2 linked regions of the Canis lupus familiaris genome follow. The protein of the gene in region 1 purifies or fractionates together with the protein of each later gene. This does not show direct contact. Links are inferred from orthologs where the notes say so. Each region holds a gene or a part of one and is shown on either strand. Other genes may lie near its edges.

Region 1 (10,939 bases):
CTTTAATCCCCATTCCCCATTCTTTAATCCCCTATTTGATCTATACCCTCACCCCCCACGAATTCCAATTTTTAATTCGGCTGGCAATTTAAATATCCATGTTTTTCAAAATTTGAGTTTGTAGACTCATTGGAGTGAGAGAATCAGAATTTTTTTTAAGAATTTTTTCTTAAAAAGATGTATTTTATTAATGGAGACACCGAGAGAGAGAGACAGAGAGAGAGAGAGAGAGAGAGAGAGGGAGGGAGAGGCAGAGACACAGGCAGAGGGAGAAGCAGGCTCCATGCAGGGAGCCCAACATGGGACTCAATCCCTGGTCTCCAGGATCATGCCCTGGACGGAAGGTGGCGCTAAAGCGCTGAGCCACCCGGGCTGCCCTGAGTGGGAGAATTTTTGTTTTTGTTTTAGCTTGTCTCTATCCAAGCCCCTTCACCTATCTATGGGTGTTTTTAGTCATATTTTCTAGCCCTTTCCCCAAAACGAGGGCTCATAGTGGTGTTTTTGGGCTTCTGTGCTGCAGTGATTTGACTGAAATCACCATTTCAGTCACCAGCAGTGGGAAGACTAGTTGTTGCCTTCTTCTGCCTCCCAGATTAAAAGTTGAAGTCCAAAACTTTGTGGGTCAATAGTGAATGATACTTTGAATATTTTTGGAGGGAGGGAAGGCCTCAAGAAGTGAGTTCAACCTGTTTGTCTCTGTGTGTTGTGTGGAGGACTTTCAGTGGCTTTTAGCCCCTAGAACGTGCTACTGTTGCCTGCCTCTAGACCTGCAGCCCCATAGGCACCTGACTTGTTTAGCTCTGCGATGCTGTTTCTGATACTTTTTATCTGCTAAGATGTTTCTCTTGTTTTTGAGGTTTTTAAAAAATTATTTATTCATGAGAGACACAGAGAGAGGCAGAGACATAGGCAGAGGGAGAAGCAGGCTCCCTGTGGGGAGCTCAATGCGGAACTCCATCCCAGGACCCTGGGATCATGACCTGAGCTGAAAGCAGATGCTAAACCACTGAGCCAACCAGGTACCCCCTGTTTTTTAGTCTTGCTATTTCTTTTTCTCCCTTCATATTTCTAGCTGTTATTTCTGTGTAAAGAGGGATCTGAGCATGAACTTCCTACCTAAATTTCACCCCAGAAATTGAATTCTAGTTTCATCACTTTCTGACTCAATCTCTTCAACTTCGTATTACATGTTATCAATAAAGTATTATTGCTAACCTGCCTAAACAATGCTACATAAAAATTTAAAAAATGATACATGAAACTAATTGAAAATGCCTTATTTTGACACTTCCTCTAAAAGAAAGATTTCTTTGGGGTGCCTGAGTGGCTTAGTGAGTTAAGTATCTGACTCTTTCAGCTCAGGTCTTGATCTCAGGGTCATGCCAGCTTGGAGCCTGCTTAATAAAACAAAAAAAATTTTTTTTAATTTTTATTTATTTATGATAGTCACACAGAGAGAGAGAGAGGCAGAGACACAGGCAGAGGGAGAAGCAGGCTCCATGCACTGGGAGCCCGATGTGGGATTCGATCCTGGGTCTCCAGGATCATGCCCTGGGCCAAAGGCAGGCGCCAAACCGCTGCACCACCCAGGGATCCCTAAAACAAAAATTGAAACTAAAAGAGGGATGCCTGGGTGGCTCAATTGGTTAAGTGTCCAACTCTTAATTTCAGCTCAGGTAATGATCTCAGGTCATGGGATAAGCCTGGCATTTGGCTCTGCACTTAGCATGGGGTCTGCTTGTCTCTCTCCCTCCGTTCCTCCCCCCACTCATTCATTCTCTCTCTCTCTCTCTCTTCTCTAATAAATGAAATCTCTAAAAAAATAATAAATAGTAAAATTTTAAAGATTTTTGCAACTATTCATAAAGGTTTGACCTAGTGCTATCAGTGCTTTGCTATAGGTTTGGGGCAAAGTGGTAAATTTTTAAAAAAAAACATTTTATTTATTTGAGAGAGAACAGGAGCATGGAAGAGGGCAGAGGGAGAAGCAGACTCTTGCTGATCAGTAAGCCCCATACCAGACTCAATCCCAGAGATCATGAACTGAGCCACTTAAGACAGCCGCTTAATCAACTGAGCCATCCAGGCACTCAGGAAAGTGGTAAATTTAAAAAAAAATGAGTGGGTATGCCCTTGTAAAGTCCATAATGAGGGTAATAGAAATTAATATAAGAATCTTAAGTATTCACACCATTTATCAAAGAATCCTTTATACCATGGAGAAGTACTAGGCAGTTTAATCAAACTACAGAAACCCCACAGGGAAGTGGTTCCCAAGAGATAAGTGAGCATGTAACATAAAATCCTCACACTTTGAATCCTTAGCAAACTAAGGGCACTATCATGCATCGACACAGACAAAATTTAAATTTTGCTTCTATAGGGTCTATTAAATGAAAAAAATAGTTTATCCTGGAATTATATTTAGTTTTGGTTCATCAATTTTTTATGTCATTATGTTCTGTACATTTGTTTTTTTGTTCTGTACGTTATTATGCTTAACAATTACTTCAGTTTTAGAAGTTTAAAAAAAACTGGCTTAGAGATATAGTTCTGTACATACAGGCAGGGCAACCTTTTCTAGTGCTTCATAATTATTAAATAGGGTGTGTCCTTGCGATTTAGCTTTTATCCAATCAAGGGAGAAAGTCCGTGTTTATACCTTGGCTCCTCTTTTCTTTCTTTCTTTCTTTTTTTTTTTTTTTTAGATTTATTTATGCAAGAGAGACACAGAGAGAGGCAGAGACACAGGCAGAGGGAGAAGCAGGCTCCATGCACCGGGAGCCCGACGTGGGGATTCGATCCCGGGTCTCCAGGATCGCGCCCTGGGCTGAAGGCGGCGCTAAACCGCTGCGCCACCCAGGGATCCCCCCTAGATTTATTATTATATATTAATTGTCATTACACCTTTCTTCTGACTTTAATAAAACACACTTTCTCGGGTCCCTCCCGCTACCGTGGTCCTCAACGCTGCCTTGAATAACTTGGCCCTGCTGAGTGCTCATGCTATTCCAGGAGTTGCAGTTCCCAACAAAATGCAATGCTTGTGCCTTTCGGCCGGAACCTCCATCTTCCAGTAATTTGCCAAAATGACCAACACAAAGGGAAAGAGGAGAGGTACCCGCTATATGTTCTCTAGGCCTTTTAGAAAACATAGAGTTGTTCCTTTGGCCACATAACATGCGAATCTATAAGAAAGGGGATATTGTGGACATCAAGGGAATGGGCACTGTTCAAAAAGGAATGCCCCACAAATGTTACCATGGCAAAACTGGAAGGGTCTACAGTGTTACTCAGCATGCTGTTGGCATTGTTGTAAACAAACAAGTTAAGGGCAAGATTCTTGCCAAGAGAATTAATGTCCGCATTGAGCATATTAAACACTCAAAGAGCCGAGGTAGCTTCCTGAAGCGTGTGAAGGAAAATGATCAGAAAAAGAAGGAAGCCAAAGAGAAAGGTACTTGGGTCCTACTGAAGCGCCAGCCTGCCCCACCCAGAGAAGCACACTTTGTGAGAACCAATGGAAAGGAGCCTGAACTGCTGGAACCCATTCCCTATGAATTCATGGCATGATAACTGTAAAGAAAATAAAAGACCTCAGGATTGTAAAAAATAAAAATAAAAAAAAATGCTTGTCTTCATGGAGCCTACATTCTATCTAATGAGAAACATTCAAAATAAGTACATTTAGCATGCAAGTCAGTTGTAACTGTTAAGAAAAATAAGGCAGGTAAGGGGAATATGGAGTCTTGAGAAGGGTGGCAATTTAAACAGAATGGACAGGGAAATCTCCACTGGGACAACCCTGAACAAAGACGTGAAGAAGGCCAGAAACACGTAAGATAAATATTTGGGAGAAGAGCGACTGAGGAGAAAGAATAAACCTGCGCCAAGAACACATCCTAAACGCAACTCTCTCTAAAGCGTCGCTCCCTACTGACGTATTTCCGTCGTTTAGAAGCGAGGTCGCAGACGGTCACTAGAAACAAGTGCCTGGCGCAATAGCCTCCATTTTGCTTTTGGGCACCAGCCGTTGGTGGGTTGGGGCCTTGCCCTCCTTCCTTTCCTTCTTTTCAGCCTGGGGGCTAATTTTCTTCACTTTCGAGGTAACAGTAGAGAAGCCCGGTGGCCTGGGAGAGTGGCCACGAGGGCTAGCCCAGGGAGGAGGACCTCCCCCAACGCTTCGTACCTCCCCCACGCTTCGCCCCCCGCCCGACTGCCCTCATTCAAGATGGCGGCGCAAGCCTCGCGCTTTGTCCGGTCGGATGGCACGCATGCCTAGCACGCCTGTCTGGCTTGGCGCTCGGGGGCGGGTCTACGGCGGGGTGGGGGGGCGGTGGTGCGCTCGTACCCTGCGGCCTGGCCTGAAGTCATCTGCGGCTCGGCTGCCGCTGCCAGCAACACCTTCAGCGTTCCCTGGTGTTGGTGGGGAAGATGGAGCCGTTGACTGTCGCGTCTGACAGCGGCGACCGGCCGGGAGCTCCAGCGACCTCTGGCCTGTCGGCTTCCCAGCGTCGTGCGGAGCTGCGGCGGAGGAAGCTGCTCATGAACTCGGAGCAGCGCATCAACCGCATCATGGGCTTTCACAGGCCCGGGAGTGGCGCGGGTGAGAGCCTCCCGTCTCCCCTTACTCTCCCGCCCGCCGCTTTGAGTCTCCAGGGCCATTCCTGCTCTCTTTCCCTCCAGCGCCCCGCTGGCCTTTTTGACAGAGCCTTGCTCTCTGACCTTCCCTCTGTCCCGGACTTTTTTTTTTTTTTTTAAGATTTTATTTATTCATGAGAATCCCAGAGAGAAAGGCAGAGACCGATGCAGAGGGAGAAGCAGGCTCCTTGGGATCACGCCCTGAGCCACCCAGGTGCCCGTCTGTCCCCTCTTTTTAGGTGATGTCCCAAGTTCTCACTTATCACCCCCCCCCCCCCCCCCCCCCCACACACACACACGTTTCCCCCGTTTTGTGCGGGCTTCGCTCTGCTTGTCCCCATCTCCGCCCCAGGCTGCGAAGCCTTGGCGCCTCCGCCTTGGCGCCTTCTGGCCCGTTATGCCAGACACCCCCAGCTTCATTCCCCACGCTCTCCCTTCTGTCCCCGGTTGCACCGCTCTGCCTGTTATGTCCCTCGGTAAAATTGCTCTTCGGTTCTTTCCCTTCGAAATGCTTTTCCTTCCAGTGCCTTTGCCATAGCGTCTGTCTACCTTCTTTTGCCTTTCGCTGTTGCTCTGTCCGCCCCCCGGAGCCTGTGTTTATTTACCTGCTCCCCCAGTCCTTCCTACGTGGTCATCTATCCTGGTGCCTGTGTCCAGTGCTCTCAACACTGTCCTCTTCAGGCTTTCTAAACAGATAAAACTGAGTGACCATTCTTTACCCCAACAAGTGGGACGTGCCCCACCCCCACCCCCACCCCCAGGTCTTTTCTCCCAATTTGCTGAGATTGATGTGATTGAAGTCAGGAACCGCGTTTAACCCGAAAGAGAGTTCCTCATTTCTCCCCCAGTGCGTGTACAATTCAATGAATATTCATGTGAATATTTATTGAACATGTAGTATGTGCTAGTGTTCTCTTAAGTTTCCATGGAGCTTCTTTAGTAATTGACCTTTACTCAGTATTTGCAAGCTACTGAACGCTTTGTGATTTCTGTGGGCTTCTGATAGTCAGTCCTGAACACTTAGATAGTTTGCAGGTTCACAGCCAAAACTACCAGGGAAGGTAAGGAGCACTATTTCAGATTATCCTAGAACAATAGTTAGACGCATTTCTCCCTTTAATAACAGACAGCAGGTATTTATTATTTCCCAAGACATTTATTGTCCTTCTCAAGTTATATTCTATATTTTGTTCTTTAATTATGATAATTCTATCACTAAAGCTTTTGTTTTGCTTTGGAAGCAGAACAGCATCCTCAAATTGCTTAATTACCTACTAATGGCTCCCTCACTACAGTAGAAGGATTACGTAAACAGTAGCTGTAGGGTATGCCACACCCTATGCTGACCAGATTCTGGGTTCAGAAATGTGATATTAAAGTACAGATTTGTAAAAGCTTTAATGATTTTAATCAAATAAGCTACAGCAGGCAATGCAGTCATTCTTCTGGGATATATTATCCATGAAAACCTGGTCTGTATAGCTTGCTCCATCTCCATGACCATCTTGCCCAATTTGTCTGCTAGTCTTATCTTCTACTCCCAGAATTTGGGTTGTATCCTCTGCCAGAATACTCTTCTGGGGGTGTAGAGGAAGAAACTAGTTTATGTTTTACGCAGAATCAGTGTTTAGATTCAGAGACTGCAGAGTTCTAGCAGCGGCATATTTTTTAATATTAATATAAGAGCTGTTTGCCAGTATACACTCCATAAGGCTTCTAAATTTCTTTTCTCAGAAGAAGAAAGTCAGACAAAATCAAAGCAGCAGGACAGTGACAAACTGAACTCCCTCAGCATTCCTTCAGTTTCAAAGAGAGTAGTGCTGGGCGATTCGGTCAGTATAGGAACAACTGACCAGCAAAGTGGTGTGGCCGAGGTAAAGGGGACTCAGCTGGGAGACAAGTTGGACTCTTTCATTAAACCACCTGAGTGCAGTAATGATGTAAATCTTGAGCTCCGGCAGCGGAACAGAGGGGACCTGACAGCAGACACTGTTCAGCGGGGTTCACGCCATGGCCTTGAACAGTACCTGTCCAGATTTGAAGAAGCAATGAAGTTACGGAAACAGCTGATTAGTGAAAAACCCAATCAAGAAGATGGAAATACAACAGAAGAATTTGACTCTTTTCGAATCTTTAGATTGGTGGGATGTGCTCTTCTTGCCTTTGGAGTCCGAGCTTTTGTTTGCAAATACTTGGTAAGAAACATGGAAAATGCAGATTGGCTATATAATGAGTGCTTTTGATCCATGGAGTTGATTGCCGGTATTAATATTTACCAGATTAATATGGCTGTTTTGAGATATATTATTACACTGCTCTTCCCCCTAGATATAGATGAAATGTTCTGGTTGAATACAGAGCCCAATAATAATTACTTAACTCTGTATTCTAGGCAGCATTCTGAGTGCTTTCCATATATAAACTCCTTGAACCTCATCCTTCTGACTGTGTTTTATAGATGAGGAAATGAAGACTCAGAGGTTAAGTCATTTGCCCAAGGTCACATAGCTACTAAATGACAGCTGGGCTTTAATGCAGGCAATTTCTTTCCAAAACCAAAGGGTAAAGTATCTACATGTATCATATATTAATTACTACTATTTAAATAATTTGAAACCTTAAAATGCAGTCCCTGTGGTCCTGAACATGATGTAAATTTCCTGTGATTCACCAAGCACTTCAGCATTTTATAATGTTGTAGTATCATCGTGATGGCAGTCCATCTTCACCACGCCTTCACTTCACTCGCCAGGAGAAATGAAGAAAATCATAGCTCATATTTCTGTGTCTTGCTTTTTTTAATTTTTTTAATTTTTTTTTATTTATGATAGTCACACACAGAGAGAGAGAGGCAGAGACACAGGCAGAAGGGAGAAGCAGGCTCCATGCACCGGGAGCCCGACGTGGGATTTGATCCCGGGTCTCCAGGATCACGCCCTGGGCCAAAGGCAGGCGCCAAACAGCTGCGCCACCCAGGGATCCCTGTGTCTTGCTTTTGGAAGAACTTTCATTCACTAGACTTTTTAAGAATATCTACCCAGTACCCAATTTGCACATAGCAAATTTTTCAGATAATTAAAGTTTATAGTAAACAGCAAGAAAGGTTTTAAAAATATACTTAATGGACATTTTTTAAAAAGTGAATCTGTCATACAGACTTTTTTTCTGACGTTAAATTGTCATTATAGCTTTCAGTATTTAAAAATGAGATGTATGGCTGCTTCCTTTTTCCTTTTTCTTATCTAAAGGGCCATGTGTTTTTAGGATTTTAAAGTTATGTCCTATATTTGTGCCTCATTTTTGTGTGAGGTTTTTTTGGTTTTCTGGGGTTTTTTGCTATCAGATTTTCAGCTGTTACTTCTCACTGCTTATATTATACATTCATCTGTTAATGTTTACTCCTTCACTCCCTTCATAATATTTTTAGTTTTAGGAATAAATGTAAATTAATTATTGTTTTGACCTTTCCGATTTTATTGTGTGAGAAGCAAGACAACCACTCCATTTTATCTATAGTAAGAATAGCTTGCCATTTGGATGCTTAACAATGTAGCTAGTGAGATCATTACTTGCCACAGTGTCTGGGAATGTATGGCATCTATTGAATACTGGGTCTTTTATGTGTGCTTTGAAATTGTCAGTTAATTACCTCTAGACAAGAGAGATGTTGCTGCATGATGTATTATACATCTATATCACCTCTGAATACTTTAAATCATTGAAAGAATAAATTTTTGCGAGAGTAGACTTTGGGGGGACATCAAAAGAATGTAACTTGACTTGAGAAACATATTTTATGATAAGGAAATCCATTCCCTTTATTTTTTTCACCCTTGAGCAGAAACAAGACTATTTTCAGCTTCTAAAATATATATATATATATATATTATTTTGCTTGGAATTTTATTGTTGCTGTTAGTTTAATTTGTTGTGGTTTAAATGATGATGTTGGAAATACATAATTTTATCTTCTATCTTCACAGTCCATATTTGCTCCGTTTCTTACTTTACAACTTGCGTACATGGGACTATACAAATATTTTCCCAAGGTAAATTAAGCTTTTTCTAAATTATGGTGATGTATTTAGACTGATTAATGATTTGACAATTTTAAGAACTTAAAAAAAAAAATTAGTCATACTCATGGTCTGAATCAGTGCTACTAGAAGTATCCTTGGCCCACCAGTGCTGATCTTAAAGCTATTTATTTGTTTGTAACAAGTTCAGAAAGCAAGTGATTAGAAACTTCTTAGCAATTCCACGTTGCCTTAACATTTAACAAAATTTTGGTCCACCGTGGATTGGAGGGAAAACTTAACCATGGAGTTTGAATAATACTTGTCTGAAAAGTGTTCAGTTTAATTACTTAGTGAATTTAGTAATACATTTTATCTGTAATAAAGGAAATTAATTTTTAAAAAATATTTTATTTAGGGATCCCTGGGTGGCACAGCAGTTTGGCACCTGCCTTTGGCCCAGGGCGCGATCCTGGAGACCCGGGATCGAATCCCACGTTGGTCTCCCGGTGCATGGAGCCTGCTTCTCCTTCTGCCTGTGTCTCTGCCTCTCTCTCTCTCTCTCTCTCTGTGTGACTATCATAAATAAATAAAAATTAAAAAAATAAAAATAAAAATATTTTATTTATTTATTCATGAGAAACAGAGAGGCAGAGGGAGAAGCAGGCTCACTGTGGGGAGCCGGATGCGAGATGTGATCCCGGAGTCCTGGGATCACTCCAGAGGCAGATGCTTAACCTCTGAGCCACCCAGGCATCCCAGAAATTAATTTTAAAACGGGTTAAATTACCTTACTGTGCTCCTTATTGGACACCTAGTAACAACACACTTTATCTTTAATGTCAGGGGCCTGGTATTTGCAAGAAATACTTGTCCAAAATTGCAGAACAGAATCCTGGAGAGTGTCATGTTTACCTAGTCTGCTTAACTACAAATGTATACACAGTTTTATGGGACTTGGCTGGCATAGAGGGTAACCTCACTTATGTCATTGAGTGTTGTGTGAATTTTTAACTGAAAAACAGGTTCATGGTCATTTGCTTAGTCATTTGTAATGAACTGATAGACCTCATATGTGTTTTTAATGGGTTTGAAACATTTATATTTATGAAGAGTCAAATAGGTTTTATATATAAAGTAAAAGAATAAAGTAATGTGATTTTATTTTATATGTAAATTAATTTTGAGGGGTAATATGTATTTATTGAAAGATTGGTTATAGTTTTTCTTTCTTTCTTCTTTAAGATTTAATTTATTTATTCATGAGAGATCCAGAGAGAGAGGCGGAGACATGGGCAGAGGGAGAAGCTCCCTGCAGGGAGCCTGATGTGGGACTTGATCCTGCGACTCCAGGATCATACCCTGAGCCAAAGGCAGACACTCAACTACTGAGCCACCCAGGCGTCCCAAGTTACAGTTTTTCAATAGCAAAGTTTGGAAACAACAAAGATGTCTATTAATAAATGACTCATTAAATTCTGGCCTGTTTAGAATGATGAAGCTCTGATATATAGATAATGGTAAGCCTGCCAAGAAATATTAAGAGAAGAAAAAATGCAGGATAGGATCTATAGTATGCTACTTTTTTCATCGAAAGGTGGAAAATAATTGCTTGTGTATATGTAAAACTGGAAGAATCTTTTTTTTTTTTTTTAAGATTTTATTTTTAAGTAATCTCTACAGCCAATGTGGGGCCCAAACATACAACCCTGAGGGACGCCTTGGGGCTCAGTTAGTTAGGTGTCTGACTCTTTATCTCAGCTTAGGTCCCCCCTTTTTTTTTTTAAGATTTTATTTATTTATTTGAGAGAGAAGGAGAGCAAGAGCATGAGCAGGGGGGAGAGGGGCAGACAGAGAGGGAGAAGCAGGCTCCCACTGAGCAGGGAGTCCAGCATGGGACTGTATCCCAGGACCCTGGGATCATGACCTGAGCTGAAAGCAGGTGCTTAACTGACTGAGCCACCCAGGTGCCTCTCACCTCAGGTCTTGATCTCAGGGTCCTGAGTTTGATCCGTGCATTGGGCTCCACACTGGGCAAGGAGCCTACTTAAAAAACAAAAAACAAAAACAAAACCCTACAACCCTGAGATCAAGATTCACACACTCCACTGACTAAGCCAGCCAGGTGCCCCAAACACTCTGGAGGAATGTTACATGAAACTATTAACAGTGGTTATTTGTGCTAGGAGTGTATGTGTTGTTAGGTAAATGGGAGAGAGAAAAGGAAGGGAGACTATAGTATATATACTTTTCTCTAAACAAAACATTTTCTTGTAACTCTT
Region 2 (8,974 bases), on another chromosome or scaffold:
TGGGCCACTGGGGCTGCCCCCACGATAACTTTGACTGTGTCCCTTTGCTCCCGGGGTCAGCAGAGAGGGAAGGACGGGGCAAGGCCTCTCTGCCCTGTGGGGGTTGGGGCACTGAGGGCCAAGAGAAGGCAACTTCTGAGGTCGTGACTCAAGAGACCTTCGTGATTGAACATAGGAGGGCAGAGAAGGGCACACACACACCCTCCACCCCAGGAGCGTCTTGGTGCTCCCAGCTGCCAGACGCAGGGCCAGGCCCCATTCAGGTGGTACAGAAAGAAGCAGGGGACGGCTCTCCCGTTCATGGGACCTCCAGCTGCTGGGACTCTATGACTTCCTTGGCCTTCTGGTCGGCCTTTACAAGGCCCTTTGGACATGTGGGAGACCAGAGCAGCTTCGAGTCCTTTCTCTGTTTTGAATAGATGACACACATACAAATCATTTAGAAAAGAAAAGGAAGAGGGGCGCCGAGGAGGCTGTTGGTTGAGTGTCCGACTCTTGGTCTCAGTTCAGGTCTTTGAGATCGAGCCCCATGTCGGGCTCTATACTGGGCATGGGACCTACCTTCCCACATTTCCTCATCTAGGGCACATCTTCAGCTTCTTATGTGGTTCACACCGCTGCTGGCATCCAAAGTGCTCACCTCCTGCTTTTGCTGCATACCTCTTGGGGATTGGGCCATTTTAGGACGACCCAGGCTGCGGCTCTGAACAAAGCTCCAGCAAACCCTGTGTCTGTGTGGGTGGGATGTGGCCCTGGAAGTGAAGTTGGGGAATCCACGGGAATCGGGAAAGGGTGTTCCCCATGTTGGTAGATGGTGCCAAATGGCCCTCAAACTTCTCCCCCTAGCACTACCACTAAACGAGGTGCTCTTGTGAGATAGATGGGACACCTGTACTTTTAACCTGTGCTTCCCTTCCTCGTTCGGGGGCTCTGAAGCATGTACTAGGGACAAGTCACCAGCAGGTCCGCGGGAAGCCGCAGATCGCTGCTTCTGGCCGAGGGGTGAAGAGCAGTGGGGACTAGCCCCTCACTCCCTCAGGAGCACAATCTCCATGCTGTTTGTCTACTGCAGCCTCCAAAAGCCACCAAAAACTTAGTGGCCTACAAATAACCCCTTCATTATCTTGCAGGGTTCTGTGGGTTCCTGGGCTCAGCTGGGCAGGTCTGGTGTCCACTTGGGGTTTGTGTGCAGCCGCAGGCAGGTGGTGGGAGGATGGAGTCACTTGGAGGCTTGGCTCCAAGTGGGAGGCTGGGCTGACCGGGCCACGCTCCTCCCCACGTGACCTCTCCCTGGGCAGAAGCCAGGGCTGCCAGGCCTTCGGAGGGCTCAGACCAGGACGGGCACAGAGGGCACTGCTGCCTCCCACTGGCTGCAGGGAGGCCCAGCCCAGCCATTTTGAAGGGAGGCTACGAATGGGAGGCGGTTCTTTGGGGACCATCTGGGAATACGTGCTGCCAGGTTTGGGTGTTAGAATTCGTGCTGAGAACATCTGAACTATGCAGCTGTTTAGACTCTCCTTGAATCTACGTGGCAGTTCATTTGTACCCAGCAATCTGGCGGCCAGGCATTCCAGCTCTGACGTGAATGAAGGCTGCTGGCCTCTCCCCTGTGGATTCAGTGATCTGATGTCATTTTGTGTCAGAGGCGAGTAGGAGCAGTAGACAGACAGAAAGACCTGGAAGTTGGGAAATGGGAACGGTTTCCTGGCTCTGCCCTCTGCCCTATGACCCTTCCCTGCTTCCTTTTTCCTCTGAGGGCCTTGGTCTCCAGATCTGTAGCACCCGAGTATAGTGGGTGTGCCCTGCTGGGGGTCCTTTGCTTCCCCCTGCCCCATGGCCTTCTTGAGCTCTGGGCAAGGGGCACAAAGGACAGCACTGCCCAGAGCCCCTGTTCTCCCTCTGTAAATGTCGGGGTGGCACCTGCCAGTTCTGTCACTTTATAAAACTCGGGATTCTGAGGCACGTGTGTAGGGAGTGGTGTCCTTCTCGTTGCCTCTGTGTGGCCAGCCCAGAACACTGGCCCAGAGCCCATCAGACCTACTCCCAGTGGCATCTGTGACCAGGAACAGTGTGACTCTGAATCGGTTTTGTCACCTGCAAAATGGAATGTAAAATGGTGCAGCCACTGCTGGACATTCCCCAAAAACTTAAACAGAGAATTACCATCTGACCCAGAGATTCCACTCCTAGGTATAACCCAAGAAAACTAAAAACATGTGTCTGCATGAAAACTTGCATGCAAATGTTCACAGCAGCACTATTCACAATAGCAAAACATGGCAACAACCCACACGTCCATCGGCAGATGAACGGCTAAACATGTTATGACCATACAATGGAGCATGATTCAGCCATAGGAAGGAGTACAGTCCTGCCACACACGACAGTGTGGATCAGCCTTGAAAACATGCTCAGCGAAAGCAGCCAGATGTAGAAGGACACAACTTGTATGATTCCATTCATATGAAATGCCCAGAATAGATATCACAGAGACAGTAGATTAGGGGCTGTCAGGGTCTGGGGCAAGGGACATTCAGAGTGACTACTAGTGAGTTCACAGGTAATGGAAACTTCTCCCAATCAGATGGTGGTGACGGTTACTGAACCTCGTGAATATACTAAAACCCACTGAGTTGCTCACTTTAGAATGAAGAATTTGATGCATATGAGTTCTATCTCAATACCCAAAGGTGGAGTCATCAATCCTCCTTCCCAGGAGCAGAGGAATCACGGGGGCCACTCCCCAGAGGGCCTGCACGTAGTAACGTAGTAAGGGCTCAGGGGGTCATCCACATCATCAGTGTATTACATACATGTATTGACTCTGGCCCATCTGTCCTTCCACCTGGGGCCTAGGGGGTGCCCTGATTCCAGGGGCCAGGAAAAATTTCAAGGGGAGGGCTTTGGAGCTGAGTCTTCCTCTGGCATCCAAACCAGAGGCTCAAGACCCTGAGAAGTGGGGTGACCAGCACCCCAGTTCTCCTGGGCCCTCCTGGTTTGCTATCCCAGATTCATTAGCAACTGGACCTGTCCCACTCTCGAAGTCTGCTTCCCCAGGAAGGCCACCTCTTGGAGGAAGGCCCAGGTCAGGGCAGAGTCATCTGCCCAGGACTATTGTCTCTTCACTTATCCATCCACCTCTGGTACTGGCCCGATCTAGGTCCTATGGGAAAGAGCAGATGGCACACAGAGCCAGCTCCAGAGGTGTCCAGCTCTGAGCTCTTAGAAGAAGTTGCTACCAGCCTGGGGTAGAGGGGGCTGATTGTCTCCAGAGTCTAGAGAAGGGTCCACACCAGGCAAGCCTGAGTGAGGCCGGGAATCAACTTCTCCAGGAGCCAGACAGGTGGACAGCATGCTGGGGCTGAGGGCTCTGCCCTCCAAGGGGGCAGGTGGATGGGACGGCCATGTGGCTTGCTTGGGCTCAATGAGGGAAAAGAAAGATTGCAGGACAAGGGGCTGCTAGCCTGCAGGGACACTTCAGAGAAGGGCCCTGGGTGGTGGAGAGCCCCTCCCAATCTCGTGCCTCACGGGAGCTTTGTGGCACCCCTCAGGGCTGAAGCTGAGCACCGAACAGTTGGCCCTGGTCTACAGCACTCTGGGGCTCTGCCTCTGTGCCATCATCTGCTGCTTCATCCTGGCGGTGGCCTGCTTCCTCAAGAGGAGAGGGGACCAATTCTCTTGCCAGCCCTCACCAGCACCATGCCGGACCCAGGCCAAGTCCTCCAAGGGTGAGCACAGATCGGGCCCTCAGACTCCCGGGGCCTGTGGGACAATCTGCTGGTCGGCCTTCTGTCCTGGCACTGGCCCTGCTTCCAAAAGGACAGCAGTTTGCCAGCCCTTCCTGACAAAGGCCTGGGGCACATCCCTGCAGTACTTTTTCTGTCTGGTGAGATCAGTTCACATCAAGACCTGAGGAAGCGTGGATGTGGGCTGCCGGCCGCCGGCTTGGCCCCGCACAGGGCTTCCGGGCTGAAACCTGGAGGAGGTGGTCCCCCTGGGGGGCCTAGGGGTGGTCGGCCAAGGGGCGAAACCTGTTCCTTCCCAGCAGAAAGGCAGCTGGCGCTGGGGAGTGGGCGAGCCGGCAGTCCGCTGACCGCGGGGAGCCCAACTGGCCGACAGCCCAGCCGGCCGCGGGTCCCCTGGGGCAGGGCAGGGCGCTGAGGACGGGCGGGGGCCAAGGCCAAGGCCATCGCCCTCCGCCCTTCCCGCAGATCACTGGATGGAAGCGGGGAGCGCCACGGGCGCGTCGCCGCCAGAGCCGGTGGAGACGTGCAGCTTCTGCTTCCCGGAGCGCAGGCAGCCCACCCAGGAGAGCGCGGGCGCGCCCGGGACCCCCGACACGGCGCCCTCGGGCCGGCGCGGGCTCCTCGGCCTCAGCGCCCCCGCTCGGCCCTGCGCGCGCGCCCCGGACCGCGGCCTCGAGGTCCTGTGCGCCCCCGCCCAGGAGGGAGGCCCCGCTGCCTGACGACGCGGGCAGGGTGAGCCTGGGGGACGGCTGGGGCGGAGGGGGAAGAGGTGGGGAGGGAGGGGAGGGTGGAGAGGGAAGGGGAGGGTTGAGACAGGGGGAGGGAAGAGAGATGCGGAGGGAGGCGGGGAACAGGTCGGTCACCGTCTTTATCCCACGTGTCCACTGCAGGTCACCACCCCTGCATACCTGCAGTGAAGTCATCCTTGCCTGCCGGACTCAGCCCCCAGGAGCCCTTCCTTAGAAATAAAACCTTCTCGGGCTGCCCACTCCTCCCTATCCCTGCTTTCGGTCGTGTCTCCCCTGCGGTGACTCTGGAGGTCCCACCTCTCCCGCTCGCCTCCCTGGGCTCAAGGCTCCACCGCAGCGCAGCCGCCTGGTTTCCGAAGACCTGCGAGTTGACGGTCCCCACCAGGCTCAGGACCCGCCGAGCTCGGTGACCGGTGCCGGTGGGAGGCAGCGAGCACACACGGGACTCTGCTGTGCGCTTTCTTTTAAGAGGGAAAGCCAAAGGATGGAGCGAAGCCAGTGTGCCTCTACAGGAGGGCTGGGCACACCTGCATTTCTTTTCTGAAACAAAGTCCCCACTGTGCCTCCTTAGGCATGGTGAAGCATGGTGCAACGTGTGTGTGTGTGTGTGTGCATCTGTGTGTGTGTGTGTGTGTAGTGGGCTAGGGGTGGACAGGAAGGTGCAGGCTGAGCCCAGGGCGCCAAGCTGCTCTGAGCCCGAGGCTCTTTGCCTGCCCCCCTCCCCAGGAGCCTTCTCATTTGCAGGCACCTTTGGCCTCACCTAGCTACCAACCTGCACGTCTCATGGCTTAATATTCTTTATATTAACTCCCCTTTTCTTCTAGCCCTACTTTAATCTCATGCTGAATTTTATAAGTGATAACACTAAGAATATCTGAGCATCCACACATTTTCAATGTTACCTATATTTTCTATTTGTAGTAGCATTGAAATCTATATTTCAGTGGCACTGAAAATGCATAATGATTCTTAGAAGCATTTACACAGTAAGAGAAATACACAATTGTGTAAATTAAAATGATTCATCCTGTGCCACCCAACATTACCTTGCACAGCTACGTGCACCAGAGGTTCACATAACACACTTTGGGAGGTGTAGACAGGGTGCCTGATGCTCCATCTGTCCACCCTCCAAGGGCTAACAGGCTGTCCCGGCTTCCTGAGGCAGCTGTAACAAAGTAGCACACACTGGGTAGTCTAAAGGCGAAAGTCGCTGTTCCCCACTTCTCCAGGTGTGCCATCTGGAATCAAGGTGCCAGCAGGAGCTGCTTCCTTCTGAAGGCCGCAAGGGAACCATCTGTTCAGGGCCACTATGCTTGGCCTGCATCTTCCTCTCTGTGTCTAGAGTCAAATTCTATCCTTTGTACAAGGACACCAGTCATATGGGATTAGGGCTCACCCCCACCCCTCATTTAACTTGATCACCTCAAGATTCTAAGTCCAAATAAGGTCACATTCTGGGGAACTGAGGGTTAGGGCTTTAACACATGAACTGCCGGGGGGGGGGGGGGGGGTGTGTGACAACATCATTCAGCCCATAACACAGGCCCTGCCCCAAGCCCACCTCTGCTTCATCTTTATGACAAGCAAGTTGGCTTCTAAAAAGTGTCTGCCCAAGACACGTGTCTGTGGCACAGTCAGCCCCACAGGGCAAGTGGTGACGCCCTGGCTGCAGTGTTTCCTACAGCCATGTCCTTGCCAGTAGCTGATCCTATTACAGGATTGAGACTAAAGCCCTGTAGCTGGTGTAGATGTCCCAGCGTGGTGACAAGATAATGGCACACTTGGGAACCTCACAGGTGCCGCTTAGGCGGGAAGGCTCCCTTGGAAGGTGTGCGGCTTTCTACCTCTTCTCAAGTTTTCCAGCTCTACCCATCCAAACCCAGAGACTCTAGGGGATGTTTCTGGTACTGTGGGGGCGGGGAGTCAGGGCTGCTGAAAACGTAAGGTGCTGAGTGTCCGATCCTGGCAGCCATCAGACCAAACTTATCTTGTTTTTTGTCAGTCATTTGATTGCTCTTTGGTGTGTGTGTGTGTGTGTGTGTGTGCGCATGCGTGCGCACATGCTTGCACATATGTGTTTTAATACAGGGATCTCGTTGGTAGACAGTAAATCTGAAACTCTAAATACTGTCCATTTTATACATGCTCTGGATAAAATTCTGTTGGTTCTATCTGAAGCATCTATTCTGACTCCTGCCACTTGTCACAGGCGTGGAGGCAGGCTCCTGTCACTGCTCCCCTGGGTGAGTGCACCAGCGTCCCCTGGCCTCTCTGTCACCTCCCTGTCCCCCAGCCCAGGGCTCAGCAAGCTTTGCTGAAAAGTATCAGAAAGTGAGTATCTTGGGCTTCAGGACCATTCGGTTCCTGCTACGGCTGCCGGACGGTTACTCAGCCCTGCCACTGTAGGGTCCATTCAGCCATAGACAGTATCGAGCAAGCAAGGATGGCTGTGTTGCATAAAACTACTTCTAGAAACAAGAGGCAGGCCAGATTCGAACCTCAGGCCATACTTGCCAAGCCCACCCTATTACAAATCCCTGCCTAATAGCTTCAACGTCCAGATCACTTCTGACCCTGGCTCTGTGGAGTGATTTGTCTCTCAGCAGTGCATTGTTTTCACTTGCTCACTTGTGTGTCTTGTATTCCTTTAAGGAATGCCGGATCTGTGTGGGGCAGCAGTCAGACAGAAGGAAGAGGTAGGGATGCCTGCAAATGGGCACACCTCTTCTCCTGCCAGGCTGTCAGTGTGAGCAGTCAAGTCAGCCAAGCTAGGAGCTGAGCTGGGTTTGGGTTTTGTTGTTACAGTCACCTTTTGTGCCTTGCTAGCTGCAAAGTGCCCTGGTGTTACCATGTTCTTGGTGGCAGGGGGTGGCTGGGCTGGTGATATTCCTGCTATGAACTCGGCTTTACACCTTCCCTGTGTGCCACTGCCTAAAGAGGCTCTTTCTCCATTCTTTGCTCTCTGTAGGTGGTAAGTCTACCATTACATCACTTGGTGCTGGCCCATCTGACGGGTGGCGGAGCCACCTTCCATCCTGGTGTCAGGCAGGCCATGTTCCTGGGCTGAGGGGCTGAGCCTTTTCCCGTGATGCTTCCCTCCCCTGGGAATGGACAGTTTCCTGCCCCTAGATAGAGTAGAGGGTATTTGCCTTCCTACTGCCCACAGTGGGTATATCATCTGTATCCTGAGTTCACAGCCCCTTCCCCAGCTTTGGTTTGTTGGGAAAGAAGAGTCTGGGGGGCTGTGAATACTTCCAGCAGCCAGGGCCCCACGCCTGCTCCTCTGATAGAGGCTTCCTGTGGTCCCTGCCTGGTGCCTGGTTTTTATGAGGTCCAGTGGAAGTCTGTGGAGAAGCACCTGCAAGTGGGTATCAACTCCACTTGTTTGACTTTCCCAGAAGTTCTGTGCTCTCATGCAAGCCTTCAAATCATGGGAGGACTTGCTCTTGCCCATTTTCATGGCAGCTTTGCCTTCTTCCTTGCACTTGGCCACAGGTGGCCACTGTTCATGTCCCCTCTCTCCTTGGAGGCACCTGCCTTCCTTAGACTCCAGGCTAGTCGGTTGCCCTGCAACTTTAGCTCACAGATGGGCTCAGAGAAGATATAGTTTTGTGGATTATCCAGCTATATTATCATTTGGGAAGGAGTGGCCTTCTCTCTGGCTTTCTCCTTCCTAGGTGGCCTTGGAAGCCAGGGTGATCTTATAAAAATATCAATGACATCGTGTCTTTTCACTGCTTAAAACTCTCTCATGGGTTCTTGACACAGAACAAAATCTCCACCTTTTACAGGGGCCTCTGAGCCCATGTGTTCTGGCCCCTGGCCTCCTCTCAAACTCAGCTCATATCACACTCCAGGGCACCCACCACCCTGCAGCCCCACTCACCCTCATCCTCCTGCCCTGAGGCCTTTGCGTTTGCTGTTCCCTCTACCAGGAATGTGCTTCCCTGCATCTTCACCCAGGTTGGAGGGGGTGCTCCTTTTTAAAAAAAAAAAAAAAAAAAAAAAAGATTTTATTTACTTATTCATGAGAGACACAGAGAGAGGGGCAGAGACATAGGCAGAGGGAGAAGCAGGCTCCATGGAAGGAGCCCAATGTGGGACTCGATCCTGGGACTCTGGGATCACACCCTGAGCCGAAGGCAGGCGCTCAACCGCTGAGCCACCCAGGCATGGAGGGGGTACTCCTATTGTGCAAAAGTCAGCTCAAATGCCATCTTCTCAGAGCCCCCTCCCCCCACCCCCAGCAGTTTCTCTTTTCCCTGATTTCTTAAAATCTCAGAAATCTCAGAGAAATGATTTTGGAAACTTCTCAAAATTAATTTTTGGTACAAAGGAGATAGGGAAGGGAGAGATTTCCTCCAGCTGTGCTTCTCTGGCTCTTGGTATTTTACATGAGCTATCTGGGCCGGCAGTTCTCAGCCTTAGCTGAACATGAGAATCCCTGGGGGGAAAAATCTGCAAAAAAAACTCCCA

What was found.
Region 2: the proteins of CAMLG (region 1) and TNFRSF13B purify together in Homo sapiens (affinity purification with western blotting; 3 studies listed by BioGRID and IntAct, with this or other methods). This does not show direct contact. The link is inferred for Canis lupus familiaris from reciprocal best matches to the Homo sapiens genes CAMLG and TNFRSF13B.

The regions. Positions count from the first base shown.
Region 1 is NC_049232.1:22,828,183-22,839,121, forward strand, and holds the start of CAMLG (calcium signal-modulating cyclophilin ligand), read left to right. Parts: upstream 1-4,290; 5' UTR 4,291-4,434; coding exon 4,435-4,606; intron 4,607-6,375; coding exon 6,376-6,836; intron 6,837-8,624; coding exon 8,625-8,690; intron 8,691-10,939. UniProt on the Homo sapiens protein: Required for the post-translational delivery of tail-anchored (TA) proteins to the endoplasmic reticulum.
Region 2 is NC_049226.1:42,692,303-42,701,276, forward strand, and holds the end of TNFRSF13B (tumor necrosis factor receptor superfamily member 13B), read left to right. Parts: exon of another isoform or gene 1-406; intron 407-3,551; coding exon 3,552-3,728; coding exon of another isoform or gene 3,729-3,913; exon of another isoform or gene 3,914-4,175; intron 4,176-4,211; coding exon 4,212-4,465; 3' UTR 4,466-4,478; intron 4,479-4,636; 3' UTR 4,637-6,009; downstream 6,010-8,974. Other genes in the region: USP22 (ubiquitin carboxyl-terminal hydrolase 22), read right to left, coding at 8,387-8,477. UniProt on the Homo sapiens protein: Receptor for TNFSF13/APRIL and TNFSF13B/TALL1/BAFF/BLYS that binds both ligands with similar high affinity. Mediates calcineurin-dependent activation of NF-AT, as well as activation of NF-kappa-B and AP-1.